Anolis sagrei: one gene and its partner. The protein of the gene in region 1 interacts with the protein of each later gene in a biochemical or structural test. Links are inferred from orthologs where the notes say so. Each region holds a gene or a part of one and is shown on either strand. Other genes may lie near its edges.

Region 1 (7,474 bases):
CAAATGCTTCACACTAGCTTTCAAGACATCACTGTATTCTTCTCCAGGTAGAGATTTTAAAGGGTAAAGGAGAAAAATGAGGGGGCATGCTCATTCTGCATTGAAGAGCCTTCCTGTTTACGGCTGTTGAATGATAACACTATGTAACACTGTGACAAAATTCCAAAAGGCAAAGCTTGATTTTGCAATTTTTATAAGGGCATCAACACTATGTAACTCAATTTTTGTACCTGGTTTATAAATACCTTTTCCTAATTGGTTCTATCATTAAAAAAAAAAAAACATGAGAAAGTGCATTAAACTTTAAAAGTGTTTTTGCAGGATGTTGTTGTTCATTCGTTCAGTTGTCTCTGACTCTTCGTGACCTCATGGACCAGCCCACGCCAGAGCTCCCTGTCGGCCGTCACCACCCCCAGCTCCTTCAAGGTCAGTCCAGTCACTTCAAGGATGCCATCCATCCATCTTGCCCTTGGTCGGCCCCTCTTCCTTTTACCTTCTACTTTCCCCAGCATAATTGTCTTCTCTAGGCTTTCCTTTCTCCTCATGATGTGGCCAAAGTACTTCAACTTTGTCTCTAGTATTCTTCCCTCCAGTGAGCAGCCGGGCTTTATTTCCTGGAGGATGGACTGGTTGGATCTTCTCTCAGTCCAAGGCACTCTCAGAACTTTCCTCCAACACCACAGCTCAAAAGCATCGATCTTCCTTCGCTCAGCCTTCCCTAAGGTCCAGCTCTCACATCCGTAGGTTACTACAGGGAATACCTTGGCTTTGACTATGCGGATCTTTGTTGCTAGTCTGATGTCTCTACTCTTTACTATTTTATCGAGATTGGTCATTGCTCTCCTCCCAAGAAGTAAGCGTCTTCTGATTTCCTGGCCACAGTCTGCATCTGCAGTAATCTTTGCGCCTAGAAATACAAAGTCTGTCACGGCCTCCACATTTTCTCCCTCTATTTTCCAGTTGTCAATCATTCTTGTTGCCATAATTTTGCGGGATATCCTGAAGCATTTTGCTAAAGTTTTTCAATGAACATTTCGAGTCTCGACAAATTCAACCTAGTTTGTGGCAGCCACAAAAATGAAATTTCTGGAGCGTAACAACTTTCAAAGTAAGTATTGCACAGCAAATAACACTTTCACACAAGGAACAGATACTTTTTTTTTCAAATTTTGTTAGTGTAATGAATGGAGAAAGTGAATAATGTAACAAAATTTGAAAAAAATTCTCTTCCTGGTTTGAAAGTGTAACAGTATTTCCTGTTTAATTGTGTAGCACTTTGAAAATAGTTGCTATACTCCAGAAACTTTGTTTTTGTAGCTGCCATTTTTAACTGTTCAATCTGCCAGTTTATTATTATCATTATTATTATTATTTATCCTGCTTTTCTCCCATGGGTGGGATAAATCTATATAAATAAAAATGTAATGTTCGTTTGTGGGATTGACAGAACTCAAAAAACACTGGACGAAATGACACCAAATTTGGAGACAAGATACCTAACAACCCAATGTATGTCCTTCGCTAAAAAATGATTTTGTCATTTGGGAGTTGTAGTTGCTGGGATTTATAGTTCACCTACAATCAAAGAGCATTCTGAACCCCATCAACAATGGAAATGAACCAAACTTGGCACACAGTTCTCCTATGACCAACAGAAAATACTTGAAGGGTTTGGTGGGCAGTGTCCTTTGGTTTTAGAGTTGTAGTTCACCTACATCCAGAGATCACTGTGGACTCAAACAATGATGGAGCTGGACCAAACTCTATACGAAGACTCAATATGCCCAAATGTGAACACTGGTGGAGTTTGGTGAAAACAGAATCTTGACATTTGGGAGTTGTAGTTGCTGGGATTTTTAGTTCACCAACAATCAAAGAGCATTCTGAACCCCACAAACATTAGAATTGGGCCAAACTTTCCACATAGAACCCCCATGACCAACAAAAAATACTGTGTTTTCTGATGGTCTTTGGTGACCCTTCTAACACCCTTTTATGACCTCTGCAGGACTTCAGCCAGGATGACCTCAGCCAGGTTGAGAAATTGTGCCTTAAGACCATCCAGTCCAACTCCCTTCACCAGGGCAAGAAAACATAACCAAAGCCCTCCTCACAAACAGTCATAGATATAGATAGATAGATATGATTCACACACACACAGATATAGTATCATAGATTTGAAAGGGATCCCTAAAGAAGGACAATTCTATGTTGCATGTTTCAGAATAAGCAAACCAGAGAATATTTACATCAACACTGACAAAGAAACAAGAAGAAATAATGTTGACCCACAAGCATCAAGAAGAAATACTGTTATATATCTGTGGAATGACCAGGGTGGGGCAAGGAGCTCTTCCCTGCTGGAGCTAGGTGTGAATGTTTCAACTGACCACCTTGATTAGCATTTGATGGCCTGGCAGTGCCTGGGGCAATCTTTTATTGAGAGGTGATTAGATGTCTCAGATTGTTTTCCCTCTGTCATTTTGCTGTGGTAATTTTAGAGTTTTTGAATACTGGTAGCCAGATTTTGTTCATTTTCATGGTTTCCTCCTTTCTGTTGAAATTGTCCACAGCTGCATGGTACACGGTAGACTCCTGCAGAAGCAACGGACAAGAGGGATCCTCTCACTTCTGCAGGAGTCTACCGTGTACCATGCAGCTGTGGACAAGTCTACTTAGGGACCACCAAACGCAGCATTGCCCAAACATAAATCAAGGAACATGAAAGGCACTGCAGACTAAGTCAACCAGAGAAGTCAGCCTTGACAGAGCGCCTGATGAACCAGCCTGGACACAGCATATTATTTGAGAACACCGAAATGCTGGACCACTCTCACAACTACCATGTCAGACTACACAGAGAAGCCATTGAAATACACAAGCATGTGAACAATTTCAACAGAAAGGAGAAAACCATGAAAATGAACAAAATCTGGCTACCAGTATTAAAAAAAACTCTAAAATTGCAACAGCACAACAACAGAGAGGAAGCAGGCAGGGACATCTAATCACCTCTCAACAAAAGTTTGCTCCAGGCACAGTCAGCCCATTGTATGCTAATCAAGGTGGTCAGTTGATACATTCACACCTAGTTCCAGCAGACAAGAGTCCTTTGTCCCACCCTGGTAATTCCACAGATATATAAACCCTTTTTCCTAGTTCCAACAGACCTCACTATCTCTGAGGATGCTTGCCATAGATGCAGGCGAAAGGTCAGGAGAGAATGCCTCTAGAACATGGCCATATAGCCCAAAAAAACCTACAACTACCCAGTGATTCTGGCCATGAAAGCCTTCGACAATACAGTGATGGGAATGATCACAGGCACAGCCAGCCCATTGTATGCTAATCAAGTGGTCAGTTGAAACATTCACACCTAGCTCCAGCAGACAAGAGTCCTTTGTCCCACCCTGGTCATTTCACAGATATATAAACCCTTTTTCCTAGTTCCAACAGGCCTCACTATCTCTGAGGATGCTTGCCATAGATGCAGGCGAAAGGTCAGGAGAGAATGCCTCTAGAACATGGCCATATAGCCCGAAAAAACCTACAATAACCCAGTGATTCTGGCCATGAAAGCCTTCGACAATACACTTCGACTACACAGTCGACAATACACTTCGACTGTGCCTGTGATGGGAATGATCACAGGCACAGTCAGCCCATTGTATGCTAATCAAGGTGGTCAGTTGAAACATTCACACCTAGCTCCAGCAGACAAGAGTTCTTTGTCCCACCCTGGTCATTTCACAGATATATAAACCCTTTTTCCTAGTTCCAACAGACCTCACTATCTCTGAGGATGCTTGCCATAGATGCAGGCAAAACGTCAGGAGAGAATGCCTCTAGACCATGGCCATACAAAAAACCTACAACAACCCAGACCTTCTTATAGTAACACCTGAGGCACTCCAAGTCGTCAGCTACTGGTCAAAGGACATTTAATCAACTACCAAGCTTGCAAACTTTCTGTTTTGTTTGTTTGTTTAAAAATGCAATGCAACTGTTTGGTTTGCCACTGACACGATAACTTGCTTGACAATGTTGAGCATCCCCCCATTTACAAAAAGTGCAGGAGTCCTTCAGTAGGTAGAATGCAATACCGGGCCATCCCAAGTTGAATTTGGGGGGAGGGGGGTAACTCCAGAGGCGCAACCAAGTTCCCTTGGGTTTCTACGGGATGCCAAAGTAGCCCTCCTGCCCCGCCCGCCCGCGCGCGCATCTGGAGAGAGCCAATCAAAACGAGAGACGGGGCAGGGAGGCACCGACGTCACATCGTGCGTTCGGGGTGACCCCTCCCCGTGCCTGTGTGATGTGGGGAAAGGTTTGAAAATCACCCCATTGGAAGCCCCGCCCCTTTGGCCCGGCCACGAGGAGGAGGCAGGAGGAGCGCGAGGAAAAAGAAGCCTGGCGCCGGCCGCGTGCGCAAAGCAGCCAGTCAGAGAGAGAGCGCGCGAGAGAGGCAGAGAGAGCGGCACGCGCCCACTCCTCACAGCAGACTCACCTGAGGGAGAAAAAGACTCCAAAGAAGGGTTTTTGAAAAGACTGTGAAGCCCACCATGAGCCCACTTGAAGCGACCCACGTCGCCCTGGCGGTCTTCCTCCTCAGCATCCTCGACCACGTTTCTGGCAACGGTAAGGAGTGGCTTCCAATGAAAGGCATTAAATGGTTTTCAATTGGTTCTAATGTCTATGTTGTGTTGACAGTTTGTGCCTATATTTGTATGTTTTTGCATTGTTTTGCATATGTGGAAACCACTCTGAGTCCCCTAGGGGAGATAGGGCGGTATATAATAAAGTTTTATTATTATTATTATTATTAATAATTAGAAAGTAATGGTGAAGCCTCAGGAGTCAAAAGGGTGGAGAGAGAAACTCAAGGGCTAAAGCTTTGAAGGCCTTTGCTCTCTGTGTGCAAACTTGGAGAAGAGTTTGGCCCCACTTTGAAATGCCTTGGTTCAATGTAGTATCATAGAATCAAAGAGTTGGAAGAGACCTCATGGGCCGTCCAGTCCAACCCCCTGCCAAGAAGCAGGAATATTGCATTCAAATCTCCCCTGACAAATGGCCATCCAGCCTCTGCTTAAAAGCTTCCAAAGAAGGAGCCTCCACCACACTCCGGTTTGGGGAAAGCCAGCCTTCCCAGGTAAAAGCAAGCTCTGTATCTTGATATTAGGGATCTATATTACTAGATATTGCCAGCCACATGACCTTGGAGGTGTCTACGGACAACGCTGGCTCTTCGGCTTAGAAATGGAGATGAGCACCACACCCCAGAGTCAGACATGACTGGACTTAATGTCAGGGAACTACCTTTACTATTACTAGGTGTAAGGGATCCGATCCCATCTATTCTTGAAAGCTAAGAAGGTTCACCCTGGCTAGTGCTTGGATGGGAGACCACCAGCAAAAACCAGATTTCAGAGGAAATGAAGAAAATAACCCTGGGACATTGACCAGGCATTCAGGTTTACTACTCCAAGAGAGAGAGAGAGAGAGAGTCAGGATGCATCTTTCCACCTGGAAACCAATGCCCTCGCTGGGAGAAGATGCAGGTCAAGAATAGAGCTCCACAGTCACCTACGGATCCACAAGAATACTGATCCTGGAAGACTATCCTACTCATCCAACGAGGGATTGCCTAAACACACTGTAGACCAGGCCTGGGCCAAGTGGGGCCCTCCAGGTGTTCTGGACTTCAACTCCCACCATTCCTAACAACCTCAGGCCCTTTCCTTTCCCTCCTGAGCCACGTAAGGAAAGGAAGGGACCTGAGGCACACCCAAGGTTCCACAGCACCAACCCACAGCGGTCAAAGTGGTATGGAACTGGCATAGTTCTGAGGCAGCGCTTCTCCTTTTGCACCTCAACCCAGAACACACCCAACCTGAGGAGAAACCCATCCTCCAACTCCTAAAGGAAAGGTCAAGTCCCAATGAATGCTGTGAATATTGGGACCTTCATCTTCCTACTCCTTCCTCTGTGTGAACTTTTCCTGTCATAATGGAGATAAATGGTGCCTTGTAAACTTTGGAGCAAAAAAAAGGATTGTATTGTCGAAGGTTTTCATGGCTGCAATCACTGGGTTGTTGTAGGTTTTTTGGGCTATATGGCCATGTTCTAGAAGCATTCTCTCCTGACGTTTCGCCTTCATCTATGGCAAGCATCCTCAGAGGTTGTCACAACCTCTGGGTTGTTGCAGGTTTTTCAGGATATATGGCCATGTTCTAGAAGCAATCTTTCCTGACGTTTCGCCTTCATCTATGGCAAGCATCCTCAGAGGTTGTGACAACCTCTGAGAATGCTTGCCATAGATGCAGATGAAATGTCAGGAGAGATTGCTTCTAGAACATGGCCATATAGACCGAAAAACCTACAACAACCCAGGAAAAAGGATCGATGCTTGGCCTGGGCTGAGGAAGAAGAAGGATTTGGGGAGGAGGAGCCCCACCCTTCCTTTCCTGCAGGCCAGAGGAGGCTCCACGCCCTTTCCACACATAAGTCTTCCCTCTCCCTTCTCCTTCAGAACCACCACTCAGCCTCTCTTCAAAGTCCTGAAGGTGCACAGCCTTCATACCCTCCTTTTGCCCCTTTGCTCTGCCTAACTCCCTGCAACCCCTCCTTTCTTTAAAAGGGGTGAATAAGAAGGGTAATGGCCTGCAGGCCACAGCATGAAAAGCTTTTTGACAGAAGCACTCCCTGGTTAGACTGAGCTCTCAAAAGGGACTGAGGGTGCATCCACACTGTGGAATGAATGTACTGTAGCTTGAAACCCCATTAACAGCACGGTTCAATGGGAATTGTCACTTTATAAGGTTTGCAGTGTTCTCTTTCAAGTAGTGACCTCAGCAAACTACAAATCCCAGGCTCCCCTAGCATTGTGGTGGCATTTATAGCAGAGTCACATTGCATTAATTCTAAAGTGGTCACTCATACCTGGATGCTCAGATTCATGGGAGCAGCATCTTAGCTTTGCTCAGAGTGAGTTCTCCTTAAAACTGTGCTTTGTCACCTCATTCCACTTGCAAAGAAGAAAGCCCTCCCTCCCAGTAGGAGTTTTGCAACTTTTTAGCAGTAAGTGTAATTTTTAGCAGATGTGTAGCCAGACTCAAGCAGGTGAATAGAGTTAGCACCAATGACCAGCATTGTTTTGGTTTTAATTGGAAATAATAGGGTTGGAAGAAATTCGCCCACCCAGTGCCTTCCTACAAACACACAGTCCAAACACTTCCAACAGCCTGTCTTTGAAAACCTCCAGAGAAGCAGATTCCTCCACACTCGCAGGCAGCAGCGTATTCCACTTTTAGGCAGCTCTTACCATCAGGAATTTTTCTAATGTTTCGGTGGAATGCCTAACATGGGGTGGGGTTTTGTTGCATCTGTTGTGGGTGGGAGAGTGAATGCATCCGCTGCAGGTTGAAGGAAGTTGGGCTGGACGGGCGTGGAAGAGAAGGAGGCACCTTTTCTCTCTGGC
Region 2 (7,288 bases), on another chromosome or scaffold:
TGAGAAACGCTGCCTTACCCAAAACAGAATGGTGTGATTTTGTAATCCACTTTAATACAACTGGGGGAATAATAGGCTAAGGTCCTACTTCACGTCTGTTTAAAGTCATGACATTAAGTCCTGTTTGATTGTGGGAGCTAAGCATGGTCAGTCCTGTTACCATTGGATGGAATACCAGGTGCTGTGGGCTATATTTCAGAGAAAGGAATTGGCAAAAACTACCTCCGAGTATTCTCTACTACTGAAGAAAACACTATTAAATTAATGAGGGTGCCATACGTCAAAAAGCAACTTGAAGGTACACTCTTAAAGTTGCCATGATGATGACAGTTCCCAAGGACTGATCTACCCATAGATCAGTGGTTCTCAACCTGTGGGTCCCCAGGTGTTGTGGCCTACAACTCCCAGAAATCCTAGCCAGTTAACCAGCTGTTAGGTTTTCTGGGAGGTGAAGCCCAAAATATCTGCGAACCCACAGGTTGAGAACCATTGTCATAGATAACTAGCATGCTCTAAACAAGATATGGGCATACTTTGGGCCTCCGGGTGTTTTTGACTCCAATTCCCACCATTCCTAAGAGCCTGAGGCTGTTAGGAGTGATGGGAATTGAACTCCAAAACACCTGAAGAGCCCAAGCTTGCCCATGCCTGCTCTAAACCCTTACCCTCCCAAGATATTTTGCCACCTGAAGCAAAAGCAACGATTATATACAGCCGAACCAACCCTGCACACAGGTGGCAGGAGAGGCAGGAGAACCCACAGGGAAACCGTGTCCCATGGCTTCTGTGATGGAGCTCCTCCCCTAGAAACTCTTCAGACCGCTAGGACCAAGAACAATGGGAAGGGTGGTTGGAGTGAATGCAGAGAAGACCCAAGATGCTTCTTTAACGCTCAATGGAGCCAAGAATGTCCCACTTCATATGTGCCACTGGGTCAACAGGCAAAGCTCATCCTCACTCTGAACTGTGCATCTTTGCCCATGTGCCTTCAAGTTGCCTATACATCAGACATGGGCAAACTTCAGCCCTCTAGGTGTTTTGGACTTCAACTCCCACCATTCCTAACAGCTTGGAGGGCCAAAGTTTGCCCATGCCTGCTATAGATTCATGGTGGCCCCGTAATTTTTGTAGGGTTTTCTTGGGCAAGAAATCCTCAGAGCTGATTCTGCCAGGCCCTTCCTCTGAAATACAGCCAGTTACCGATCCCCTTTCTGAGTACTAACCAGGACTGCCCCAGCTTAACTTTTTCAAGATCAGATGGGATCTGGTACCTTGAGGATCACCACACTTTGTGTGGCTTTCAGCAAAGTTCTGGAGCACAACAGAATGAATCATAGATGTTTGATGTTTTACCATCCTTGTGGGAGGCTTCTCTCATGTCCCTACCTTGGAAGCTGAAGCTCCCATGCACATGGCTCCAGCCCAAGGTATGTGTGTGTGTGTGTGTGTGTCAGGAGCAACCTGAGAAACTGCAAATCACTTCTGCTGTGAAAGAATTAGCTGTCTGCAAGGACGTTGCCCAGGGGATGCCCAGATGTTTGATGTTTTACCATCCTTGTAAGAGGCTTCTCTCACGTCCATGCATTGGAAGCTGGATCTCCCATGCGCATGGCTCCAGCCCAAGGTGTTTATTGTTGGATTTTTTTTAGTGTGTGTCAGGAGCGACTTGAGAAACTCCAAGTCACTTCTGCTGTGAGAGAATTGGCTGTCTGCAATGACGATGTTGCCCAGGGGATGCCCAGATGTTTGATGTTTTATCATCCTATGGGAGGCTTCTCTCATGTCCCTACATTGGAAGCTGAAGCTCCCGTGCACATGGCTCCAGCCCAAGGTGTGTGTGTGTGTGTGTGTGTCAGCAGCAACTTGTGAAACTGCAAGTTGCTTCTGCTGTGAGAGAATTGGCCGTTTGCAAGGATGTAGCCCAGAGGATGCCCAGATGTTTGATGTATTACCATCCTGTGGGAGGCTTTTCTCATGTCCCTGCACTGGAAGCTGGCACCCCCATGTGCATGGCTCCAGCACAAGGTTTGTTTTTCGTTTCAGGGAGCGACTTGAGAAACTGCAAGTCGCTTCTGGTGTGAGAGAATTGACTGTCTGCAAGGACGTTTCCCAGGAAACACCCGAATATTTGATGTTTTACCATCCTATGGGAGGCTTCTCTCATGTCCCCACATGGGGAGCTGGAGCTTCCATGCGGGGATTCGAACCACGGACCTTTCGGTCAGCAGTCCTGCTGGCACAAGGGTTTAACCTACGGCGCCACCAGGGGCTCCTCCAGCCCAAAGTCACCCGTCGAGCTAAGGCAGTTTGGACCCCCCTGGGCCTGCCCTGGCTCAATGCTATGGAAGCACAGGAGTTGCTTGGCGAGACAGCCAGCGCTCTCTGGCACAGAAAGCGAAAGGCTCTGTTGATGGACAACTTCTAGGACCCTCTAGGACCGGGCCAGGGCTGGGAGCGTGGGCTCCAACTGCATTCGGTGGGCAGAAAGCCGCCCCCCCTCCCCCCCCTTTCGAGTCACCTTCTTGCTCCGATGGAAGGCGGCGGGGGCGCTCCGGTCCTTCCCGACCTCGTCCTGGTTCTCCTCCTCTAAAGCCAAGGAGGGCGTGGGGTCGTCCTCTTCGTCCGGAGCATCCACGACACTGGAATCCGCGGGAGGCGGGCGGAGGACCAGGAGAAGCCCAAGCAGCAGCAGCAGCGGAGCCGCCAAAGAGAGGCGCCTTCCCATTTTTATGTTTGAGAGAGCGGGGATCAGCAGAGTCCTCACTCTTGCCAAGTCCCAGACCTTGTTGAATGAAGGCCCTCGTGGACAGACGGGACCTAGAACCCGCCCAAAGCCTCAACCTAGAACCCGTCGAAGCGCTGCTCCTTGCTCAGCCTCGCAAGCGGCGGCTTGGCGAGGGATTAGCCCACGAAAATGACGCCCCGGGAACGCGCACCGCACGCGCCCGCCCTCCTCCCTTCTTCCTCCCTTCCTTCCTTCCCTCTCTCTCTCTCTCTCTCTCTCTCTCTTTGGCTGACTTTCTCCCCTTTCTTTCCTCCCTCCCTCCCTCCCTCCCTCTTCCTTTACATCCTCTCGTGTTCCTCACAATCTTTTGGGGCGTGGATGTGGCCCGATCACGCCACTCTTCCCCCATCGGACCATCCGCGCTTGTTAAACATTAATTGGGAGTCTTTGGGCGCGTGGGGTGGATGCCCAGGCTTAGGCGTTTCAGGTTACAAGGGGTTGGGTTCCTTCTTTTTTCTTTTCGGGGTGTTTTCGAACAGGAGGGGGGTAAGGCATTCCCCTGCAGACAAAAGCAAAGGTGTCTCTCCCTCCCTCGCTCCGTGCCTGAACTTGATTGGAGGACTTGAGCCTCCAGGCGGGACGAGGAGGAGGACGAGGAGGAAACTGGAGAGCCCGGCGCCCTGGCTTCTCGGCTCAAGGGCTCTTTTTGGGAAGCTTTCTTGGGGAGCTTGTTGGAACAGGAGCGTCCCAAAGAGCGCGAGGAAGGCTGCGCCGACTTTTCTGCAGGATCCCTTCCTGGGAAGCATGGTTTTCCTAGCAGAAATCAACCAATGCTGACAAAAATTAACATTTGAGGAGAATTATCCAGAGCGGGGCTAGACCAGCTCAGGGACCCCGGGGGGGGGGGGGTCATGAATTGGTATCAGAGGGGTCGCCAAAGTCCATCAGAAAGCATAGTATTTTCAGTTGATCATGGGTTCTATGTGGGAAGTTTGGCCCATTTCTATCATTGGTGGGGTTCAGAATGCTCTTTCATTGTAGGTGAACTGTAAATCCCAGCAACTACAACTCCCAAATATCCCCCAAACTCCACCAGTGTTCACATTAGGGCACATTGAGTATCCGTGCCACGTTTGGTCCAGTTCCATCATTGTTTGAGACCACTCTGGATGTAGGTGAACTACAACTCCAAAACTCAAGGTCAGCGCCCACCAAACCCTTCCAGTATTTTCTGTTGGGCATGGGAGTTCTTTGTGCCAAGTTTGGTTCAATTCTATTGTTGGTAAAGTTCAGAATGCTCTTTGACTGTAGGTGAACTATAAATCCCAACATCTACAACTCCCAAATGACAAAATCAATCTCCCTGCCCAATCCCACCAGTATTCAAATTTGGGCATATCGGGTATTTGTGTCAAATTTGGTCCAGTGAATGAAAATACATCCTGCTTAGCAGATATTTGCACTATGAATCAGAACAGTAGCAAAATTAGAGTTATGAAGAAGCAACGAAAATAATTTTATGGTTGGCGGTCACCACAACATGAGGAACTGTATTAAGGGGTCCCAGCATTAGGAAGGGTGAGAAACACTGGGGTAAACCAAGGTATTTGGTTGCCTGAGGCAAAGTGACAACCCCCTTTTTTGCATACTGGTATGCTCATCAGGCAGCTACTGGCATACTGTGTTGTCGAAGGCTTTCATGGCCAGAATCCCAGGGTTGCTGTGAGTTTTCTGGGCTGTATGGCAATGTTCCAGAAGCAATCTCTCCTGACATTTTGCCCACATCTATGGCAGGCATCCTCAGAGGTTGGAAACTAGGCAAGTGAGGTTTATATATCTGTGGAGTGTCCAGGGTGAAAGAAAGAACTCTTGTCTTCCTGAGGCAAGTTTGAATATTGCAACTGGCCACCTTGATTAGCATTGAATAGCCTGGTTGATTTCTGCATGAAGAAATCCTTTGTTGGGAGGTGTTGGCTGGCCCTGATTGTTTCCTGTCTGGAATTCCCTTGGTTTCTGAGTTTTGTTCATTCTTTACTGTTCTGATTTTAGAGTTTTTAAAATACTGGTAGCCAGATTTTGTCCATTTTCATGGTTTCCTCCTTTCTGTTGAAATTGTCCACAAGGGATTCCAGGCATGGATCAATCAGGGTCAGCTAAAACCTTCCAACAAAGAATTCTCCCAGGCAGTTAGCAGCCAGACCTTGAAGCTGAAAGGCTACTCATTGCTAATCATTAGGGCTGGGCGGTTTCGTTTCGTAATTTCGTAATTCGTTAAAAATTCGTTATTTTTTTTTATAACGAAGCGATATTGAACCATTCAGGAGCATCTTAAAAATGAAATGAATTTTTCAATTCGTTTCGTAATTGCTTCGTATTCATTTCGTATTCGTTTTGAAATCGTTTCAAAATCGTTTCGTTATTATTTCCGCATGTCTGGGGCAAGTTTTATAGCTGTTGTTTGTTTAATCAGTGAAAAAAAATTATAAATATCACACCAACAGTCAACAACAGAGGGAGAGGGAAGCTTCAAAAGTTCCCCCTGTCCCATATTGAGGTTTTTTAGCGTATTGCGCGGTCGTGTCCGCCATTAACGAATAGTTTCGTATTCATTTCGTATTGTTTCGTAATTTTACAAAATTTCGTAAATATCGAACTTTTTTAAAGAAAAATTTTGGAATTCTTTTAAATATCGAAACGCAAAAAAACCCAAAAAATAAATCGAGTTTAGAAACAAATTTTTCCGTGGTTGCCCAGCCCTACTAATCATTGTGGCCAATTGAAACATTCACATCTGCCTCTCGCAGACAAGGGTTCTTTGTCCCACCCTGGACCTTCCACAAATATATAAACCTCACTTGTCTAGTTTCCAACAGACCTGCCATAGATACAGGTGAAACATCAGGAAAGAATGCTTCTGGAACATGGCCATACAGCCCAGTAAAATCATAGCAACCTACTGGCATACCCTTTGACATTTCACTGATTTTTGTGTCAGAAGCAACTTGAGAAACTGCAAGTCGCTTCTGGTGTGAGAGAACTGGCTATCTGCAAGGATGTTGCCCTGGGGATCCCTGGATATTTTGATGTTTTTACCATCCTTGTGCGAGGCTTCTCTCATGTCCCTGCATGGGGAGGAGGAGCTGACAGGGGAGGTCACCTGCACTCACCCCTGAATCAAACCTCTTCAGTCCCGCCGGCACAAGGGTTTAACCCACTGTGCCACCAGGGCCTCTATTTCACTGATGAAAAAAGGGGAAAACATGTATCAATATGATACAAATAGTTACTAATGAGGAGCTAGGACAGGCAGCAGTTTAGCCTTTGCCTAAGCTCCATAGGAAGGGCAGGATAGAGCCTTTTCCTATTATCAAAATAGGAAGAGACCCCAAGGGCCATTCAGTCCAACCCGTTCTGTCATGTAGGAAGACACAACGAAAGCACTCCAACAGATGGCCGTCCAGCCTCTACCTAAAAGCCTAATCCTCCAAGCTAGGATAGTCCATTGCCCAACAGCAATTACCAACAGGAAGTTCTTCCTAAGGTTGAGGTGGAATTTCTTTGCCTGCTATTTGGATCCATTGCTCCATGTCCTAGTTCCCTGAGCGTCAACAAAGCCCACCCCTTTCCTCAATGTGACAACTCTTCAAATATTTAAACAGGACTACCATGTCCCCTCTCCGCCTTCTCTAGTACATTTCTCCCTGTCGAAATCCATCTTGTTAGTTTTGGCCCACCTCTCCAATCTGTTAAGGTCATTTTGGATTCTAGTCCTGTCCTCTGAGGTGTGTTAATAGCTCTCCCTCTCAATTTGGTGTCATCTGCAGATTTGATAAACTTGCCTCCTCTCCTCTTAGTGAGTAAACTGAGTGTAAATTACTTGCGAGCTTCAGACTCTGTTTCCAGCCTGAGTAACCTGAAATGAGAACAGAGAAACTGGGACATTTGAAAGCAGGACTGCAAAGGGTTAACAAGACTAGGACTGCCAAACCTGGATAGTTGGAGGGTAGACTGTTTGCTGTCCCTTCAATACTGGTGATGAATGAGGTGCTCCATAACACCTGAAGGCAGTTTAGAGGGGCAAAGGGCCTGTCTCTTTTGGCTATGGGACAATTAGTTCAGTCTTCCAAGAAAGAGAAAGGGACAAAAACTTGTGCCACCCAAATTGGTACAATTATTTCAGAGTTGAGATAAGTTGAGATAAGAGACCTCATGAGACATCCAGTCCAACCCCTTGCCAAGAAGCAGGAAAAAGGCATTCCATATTATCCATGGTTTCCTTTTTCTACAATATATTTGGGGACATTGTCCCCTTCAAATATGGGGGTCATATAGTGCAGCATTTTCTCCCCTCACTTCCCCATAGAAAAACAAATTCCACTGGATTAACTATGTCAGAAAAAGTTTCTTCATGACTGCGGGCACAGATAAGATGCAAGGGATGACTGGCAGCTGAAGAGTTTTTCCAGAAAAATACAGTATTGTGAAGAAATGTCATCTGTTGCATGTTGTCTGGGATAGTTTATTTTTAAGGGTAAGGCACCAATTGAGGTTGCAGTCATCATG

Evidence for each region. The genes of interacting proteins can lie anywhere in the genome.
Region 2: the proteins of LDLR (region 1) and PCSK9 form a complex in vitro, tested with the Homo sapiens proteins (3 studies listed by IntAct, with this or other methods). The link is inferred for Anolis sagrei from reciprocal best matches to the Homo sapiens genes LDLR and PCSK9.

The regions. Positions count from the first base shown.
Region 1 is NC_090022.1:164,561,804-164,569,277, reverse strand, and holds the start of LDLR (low-density lipoprotein receptor), read left to right. Parts: upstream 1-4,383; 5' UTR 4,384-4,559; coding exon 4,560-4,635; intron 4,636-7,474.
Region 2 is NC_090024.1:171,681,116-171,688,403, forward strand, and holds the start of PCSK9 (proprotein convertase subtilisin/kexin type 9), read right to left. Parts: upstream 3,005-7,288; 5' UTR 2,726-3,004; coding exon 2,519-2,725; intron 1-2,518.